Rattus norvegicus: one gene and its partner. The main gene of each other region encodes a partner of the protein of the gene in region 2 in a complex. Links are inferred from orthologs where the notes say so. Each region holds a gene or a part of one and is shown on either strand. Other genes may lie near its edges.

Region 1 (3,653 bases), on a different chromosome or scaffold from region 2:
ATCTCACCACTTCTCCAATTCGATTCATCCCAAAAAGGGGTTGTGCTAAGGCTTAGTGGCAGGTCCCTTGTACCCCACCCTGAGTTCACCACCGCTGAGGAGGAAACCACTGAGAGACTTACGAGGAGATGGTGATCTTAGTCTCTGTATCCTGCTCCACTTTCTTCAAGTTCCGCCCTTCCTTTCCAATGAGTCGCCCCACGAAGTTATTATGAGCCAGGATCTTCAGGGGAACTTCGTCTGCCCTGGGAGGAAGTGGGGGACAGCCTGGTCAATGATGTCAACAAAGACCGAACTATGTTACCCAACTTACCCAACTATGCGAACCCAGAACAAACCCTGAGCCAAGCTGTCAAGATTACAAACCCAGCAGAGCTCAGTGTTGGACAGAGAAATGGGGGACAAGGACTGCAGTCTGAAATTCGGGAGCCACAGTTTTATTTATGTTTGTGATCACAGGCAACAGGTACATGGTCAACACATGCAAATGGAACGTCATATGACTGCACACTAAAAACTGTGCACACTTGGCTTGGGGACTTAGCTCAGTAGTACTGTTGTCTGTCCAGCATGAGGCCCAGGCTTCACCCCTAAGGTGAAGAAAGAAAGGACACACAATGTGCTGGCATTTGCCTTCCAGTCCCAGCTGCTTGGGCTGAAGCTGGAGGATCCAGGAATTCTAGGCTAACCTAGGCAATCCGCAAACAAGCACAGCATTATTATACTAGTTGAACCCTAAAAAGAAAAGCTGTCTTAAAAAACAACAACAAGGGCTGGAGAGATGGCTCAGCGGTTAAGAGCACCCGACTGCTCTTCCAGAGGTCCTGAGTTCAATTCCCAGCAACCACATGGTGGCTCACAGCCATCTGTAAAGAGTTCTGATGCCCTCTTCTGGTGTGTCTGAAGACAGCTACAGTGTACTTATATATAATAAATAAATAAATCTTTAAAAAAAAGAAATTAAAAATTAAAAGAATTAAAAAAAAAAAAAACAACAACAACAAAACCACTTAGACAGACATTACGGTGCACAGGAGGCAGAGAGGCAGGCAGAGCTCTGTGAGTTCAAGGCCAGCCTCAAATGGAGACACTTTGTCTCAAACAAAACTAAACAAAAAACAAGTGAAAAAGGAAAACAACTAAACTTAGTGTGATGATGCTTAATTATCAGCGGATTTAAGAACACCCATGAGCACAGCCTGTGGAAGACCCGCTCTTCTCAAAGATTGTGTGTGGGAGGTAGGGTGATGTGAAGTTGCCTGTGGAAGTCAGTCAGAAGATGAGGCATTGGATCGCTTGGAGCTTGAGTTTGTGAGACACCCAGTATGAAGATGGGTGAGATGTGAAGTTTGGTCCTAATAGGACAATATCTGCTCTTAACGGCTGAGCCATCTCTCCACCCCAAGCCAGTCTCAAGAAAATGAGTAGAAACGGAAGCCTGGTGAGGTGGTATAGCAGAGAGCAGGGTCACAGCAGTTCAGGGCTAACCAGGGTACAGGGATCCTACCTCAAATACCCCACCCTTCCACAGGACCCAGAACCAAATTATTGTAAGTGAATCCCCTGCACTGTTCTGCATTAGAGGGGCCCACAGTCAGGTCCTCACACATGCAGGCATCCACTGCATGCTACCATGCTATATTTCAAGCCCTCTGTCGCTTCCCTTTCTGTAGGAACTTTGTATTTACTGACCGAGGTGACCAAAGAGTTTATAAAAGGCATAGAGGGATTTCAGCCTGACCTCTGTGCTAACACATCTACCTGCATACTCCATTCACGAAGACCCTAATGCACACACACCCATATATATACATATACATATATGCATATACATAGACACAAATATAAACATCGAGTATATAAGATTTCTATACAATTATACAAGGATAAGAGCTTATCTGCCAACTCCTACGTTTGTGTACAGCCTGCGACTCTCTCTTAATCTGTTTCGCTGCTATTAACAAGTCTGAGGGTGGCCTGAGGGCGGCGCATGGTTCAGCAGCAAATTTCCTGCCTGGGAGGTGTAAAGCCCTGGCCTTCACTCTTGGTGCAGCCAAAAAAGAAAAACCAGAAAACGAAAGCTGTGCATCGCCGTCACGAGTGCAGCTGGGTCTTACGTCTTGGTGTCCTTTGCCTCCTTGTGCATAATCTCCAAGATCATCTTACAGGCCGAGGAGCAGCCTTCAGGGGTCGAGTGCACACTGATGGCCTTCTCCGCAGCCCCCGCGTTCTCCTTCCTGTGCACGTCTATCCTGAGCACCACAAGGAGAAAGCTGGTTAGTTGTCTCCAGTAACACCGGACTTCCCCATCTCTTGTCAATTAAAAGCCTAGCGTCCACTCTCCTTAGAATGGGGCCTGTCAAGTATAGAACCAGGAAACTCAAGAAGGGGCCTGGGAGCCACAGCCAGGTGTTGCTCTGCCCATCTCTAAAAGGACAATGCAGGCCACCTCACAGCTACTGGATGGGGATATTCCCCAGCTGTGTATGACTGTACAGTTATCTTTCTCCTTCCAGTGTCCTTTTTCAAACAATGTACTGGAAGACACACTGCCCCAACGACAAGTAAATAATCATGATTTACTGTGTATGTTAGGGATACGAGCTGAGCCGTTCTTCCCCATAACCACTGTTTATCTGTAACAACAGGAAAGCAGGTGGCCGTACTACAATGGGACATAATTACGACTTATGCCAAAGAACCCTGACCTTTTTTAAGCCAGGCTGTCCAGCTTGTGACCATCATGAAGTGGCTACTTATCCCAGAGTACCCGACCAGTGGCTAACTCCCAGCTCACAGGACTGAGTATCCTGGAGCACCCTGATATGAGCAACTCTTCCTTCTGGAGACAGTAAACCCAGACCCATCTGCCTCCTCATTTGCCCAACTCTTAACACAGAGGTAACACTGGCAACAGTGACCGTCCCTTGCAACATTCCAAGGACAAAAGTGCTGATGCCCAAACCATGTGCTTCCCGGAGCTGCCCCAGGCCCACCTCTTCCCTGCATCCACCTCCCTTTCCCAACACTCACTTGGACTGAGTCTGTTTTGTGATGTTTCGGATGGTGGCACCCTCCTTGCCAATGATGGCGCCTACATACTGCGTGGGCACCAGGAGCCGGAGAGGGATGTCCACCTGCTGCTGCTTGGCTGGCGCCCCTGCTGCTACCGGTGACCCCTGCCTGGGCTGGCCTCGAGACCCAAAGCCTCCACGGCGCCCATTCTCAGGACCTTGTGCTATCTGCTCATCAGGTATGTAGGAAACCTTCAGGGCATGGTTCTCCAGTTGATGGCCATTTAGCTTCATGATGGCTCTAGGAACAGGTAGTCCAATTGTCACTCCAACTCATGCCAACCATACCAAGTGCCGTCCTTACCCAAAAAGCACCTACTGAGTTACAGATGGGAACACACTGGGGATACTGTAGCTAACCTTCTGTCTACCACCCCTCCATCACTATGGAACTTTCTGGTCTGAGAGAGAAGACACGAACGGAAAAGTAACTGATACAGCAATGCCACTTGCTTCCTTGGCATTTATTGTTCATAAAAATCTTCCAATAAAAAATAATAAAAAAAATTTCCACCTAAGACCACTGGAAGATGTTGAAGCCGGTGTGTGTGTGTGTGTGTGTGTGTGTGTGTGTGTGTA
Region 2 (3,653 bases):
AGGTGTACACTCCCTTGCTTGCTCTCAAGTTAATAGCTTTTATTTCTTCAATTACTGCTGTTGCTATTGGGGTGTGTTTCTTTCCTACTGTATATTCCTATTGGGTTTCTCGCCACCACACCACAGGGGCCTCAATCATGACAGTCCTCATGCCTCAGTACAGAAATTCAGAGCTACTACACCCTGGCTCAATCTTTTTGATTCAAAGAATTAAAAGAAAAAAATTCTGTTAAATATTTCATAATTTTATACATTTTTAAATGTTAGGAAATTTAGGTTCTCACCAAACATCTGCTTGTTTTTAAATCAAACATTCCCGCTCACAAAAAAAATACTTTATGAGGCTGGGGATTTAGCTCAGTGGTAGAGCGCTTACCTAGGAAGCGCAAGGCCCTGGGTTCTGTCCCCAACTCCGAAAAAAAGAACCAAAAAAAAAAAAAAAAAACCTTTATGTTGCTACTTAGAATATATCATCCTGGTATCTTCTGTGAATTTTAACTGTACTGTCTTTTTATTTTAAGTGTATGGGTGTTTGGTCCACATACTTGTACACCACATGCATGCCTGGCGTCACCAGAAGGGGGCATCAAATCCCCAAGAACTAGAGTTTCAGATGGTTTTGAGTTGCCCTGTGGGTACTCAAGAGTTGAGTGTGGGGCCTCGGGAAGAACAGCCAGTGTTTCTAAGAGCTGTCTTATTTATTTACTTATTTAAAATAAATGGGTGTTTTGTGAATTTGTGATGAAGGAAAAATGTGGTCTAAGAAAAATTCTCATATTCCTTTAATTTTACCCAGAGCTATCCAAAGCCAGAAGCACAAACTAGAAATTCCGTACCATCTACAGATTCTGAATCTTATCAAATACCCCTTCTATAATGCATATACACAGGAAAACACGGCACTTCAAAAACCACCAGATAAAACACATTAAGCAAAAACTGACATTAAGCCTAGAGAAAAAGGAGAAGAAAAAAACAAAAAACTTACCAGTTTAACAGCCTCTTGTGCTGCTTCTTTTGTACAAAAAGTGACAAAGGCATAACCTCTGTTGAGACCAGTAAGTGGATCCATCATTAAACGAAGATCCCATATAGGTCCAGCTTTCTCAAACAATGGAACAAGCTCATCTTCAAACAGATCTCTGGGGATCTTCCCCACAAATATCTGAAAATTAAATATGAATTCACAATCATGGACAATTCTTTAGAAACTAGAGCTGTATTTTTTTTTACTACAAATGGTGTAAGTTTAAGGTTCTTTACCTCAGTGCCAACAGAAGGCTGCTGACCTGAATAAACAGAATCTGGAGGTGGCCCCCCATACTTCCTCTGACCTGTAGTCACATCAAGAGTGTAGCCTGTTCTTTCCAAAAGTGCCTTTAAAAAGTTCAAAATGTTGTTAATGCTTCATTTAAAATACAGATTTTTAGTAATTAAGTCAATCCCATTCAAATATTACCAATCTTAGCAACATTGCTCCATACAAATGAGTAAGATCTGTTTTAGAATTCTCCCTTTTTACATAAAATATCCAATTAAAAAAAAACATTCTCCCTTTCATGTAACCTACAATCAAAATTTCAGAATCCTGTGCATATCATTGTTATTGGCCAATTAATTACTGAGCAATAAAAATTAAAATCGACCCACCAGCAACTTCTAAGATATATATATATATATTGAGTCTGCTAAGAGAAACCTCATTTAAAGCAGGCATGGCTTTAATCCCAGCACTCAATAAGCAGAGGCCATGGGATCTCTCTGAGTTCAAGGCCAGCCTGGTTTACAAAGACAGAGTTCCAGGACAGGGCTACACTGAGAAACTGGTCTCAAAACACAGACACATACCACATACACACTGGGGGGGCGGGGGGGGCGCACAAGTATACCTCATTAAAAATGCAACAATTTGATTACTATTGAACTCTGTATTTCTTACCCAATAAACTCTTAACCCACCCAAAGACACACAATACCATTTGTGGGCATTTTGTCACCTCCACCCCTTAAATCACGTCTATAAACTTGGAAGGCTATATGAAAAGCTTTTCTATTATTTGCTGTCAAAGTGTTGTGTACCACAAATAGCATGGCTCATTCAGAAGAAAAGCAGCCAAAATGATTTTGAAAAACAGTAAGAAACTACAATCATAGAACTTTTATCTCCCTCAACTTGTTAAAACTTATAACTCATTTTACTCAATTAGGGGTTTTTCTTCATCCGTTATTACAGGTAAAAGTGACAAAAAGGACATGTGTAACCTGTTTAGCCAAATAAGCCCAAAAGTCCGCTTCTGTATCAACGAGGAAAGTTCTCTAAGTAACAAAACTATTTTATTAACTAGTTAACAATTCAAAATAAGGACCATAAGATAAAACTTATCAAAATGTTAAGTCACCTCAATCTCCCAAAAATTTTTTTTTTACTCAAACAGCATTACATATGAAATTGTGGGAACGATGTATAGGATGCTTCCTTGATGTAATTTATCCCCCCCAAAAACCTGACTTATAAAAATATATCAATTTTAAAGGTATTCATAAACGTTTAACAAAGTTTCACAAAAAACTGTATGATCTAAATGGCTTTTTCATTACTCAAATTTACTCAAAGGTATAACTCTTATGAAGGAAGGGCTGGAGAAATGCCTCAGTGGTTAAAAGCATTGAGGCTCTAAGTTCAAATCCAAACACAACTCTTCAGAAATTAATAATTCCCCAATCGCACTGGCATAATTGCAATACAGACTATAAACCCCATTTTTATTGGGAACCTAAATTCAATTCGTTCACAATCCTTTGTAAAAACTCACACTGTTGACAAACAACATCATACTCCAATCTTGTCCACATGATCTAGGCTTCCTTTTCCAATAGAGGTATAATACCACACATTTATGCCCTTCTTAGCAACTGCTTTTCTTAAACCATAGCTCTTGCCTAAAGAAGTGGTACATTACTAAAATCTAAAAACTAATATAAACTATACTCTTTGAACTACACCTAACTCACCAAGAACACTACCTAAATGAGGCCATTTAATCTTCTAGGACCTTAAAAACAACCAACCTGCAACAAAAGAAACTTTCACTCCCAACCCATTGTCCTTGCTTACCAAACTTGGTTTTAGAAATAACTGTCCTTCATAACCCAATAAAAGAAACAATACTAAATTCTAAATTCATTGGGACCCTGCCCTCCTAAAGGGAAAAAAAAAGCAGCCAGCCAATCTGCTCCCAGTTTTGTTGATCAGTAATCTGTAAACATTTAGACTTAACCACCTCTTTAAATGTTTCTTACACTTTTGTAAGTGACAGCACACACAGGTTGGAACAGTAGTAGCCAGACAAACTGCAGTGATTTTCAAAAACCAAAAGTGGACACAGTCAATCTTTTTTTTCAAAGTGTACTCATTAGAAGACAATAACCTTAGAAATACACATGCGTGTGTGTGTGTGTGTGTGTGTGTGTGTGTGTGTGTGTGTGTGTGTGTGCGCGCGCGGCGCGCGCGCACTTCAGGAATAACCTTAGAAATATATGTACCCGGGCACACTTCAGGAACATTTGACAAAGCTCTTAAATAACTGGGAGGGTTGTAAAGCTGCAGAAAGTTTTAAAAGCATACCTTAATCTTCGCCTCATCTGGTCCTTTA

Evidence for each region. Proteins that work in one complex are often made in the same cells at the same time.
Region 1: Syncrip (region 2) and Igf2bp1 share a complex: the UniProt entries of both Homo sapiens proteins name them as parts of the coding region determinant (CRD)-mediated complex. The link is inferred for Rattus norvegicus from reciprocal best matches to the Homo sapiens genes SYNCRIP and IGF2BP1.

What each region holds. Positions count from the first base shown.
Region 1 is NC_086028.1:81,413,312-81,416,964, forward strand, and holds part of Igf2bp1 (insulin-like growth factor 2 mRNA-binding protein 1), read right to left. Parts: intron 3,316-3,653; coding exon 3,034-3,315; intron 2,253-3,033; coding exon 2,118-2,252; intron 246-2,117; coding exon 123-245; intron 1-122. UniProt on the Homo sapiens protein: RNA-binding factor that recruits target transcripts to cytoplasmic protein-RNA complexes (mRNPs). This transcript 'caging' into mRNPs allows mRNA transport and transient storage.
Region 2 is NC_086026.1:98,308,756-98,312,408, forward strand, and holds part of Syncrip (heterogeneous nuclear ribonucleoprotein Q), read right to left. Parts: coding exon 3,626-3,653; intron 1,378-3,625; coding exon 1,264-1,377; intron 1,166-1,263; coding exon 989-1,165; intron 979-988; exon of another isoform or gene 1-978. UniProt on the Homo sapiens protein: Heterogenous nuclear ribonucleoprotein (hnRNP) implicated in mRNA processing mechanisms. Component of the CRD-mediated complex that promotes MYC mRNA stability.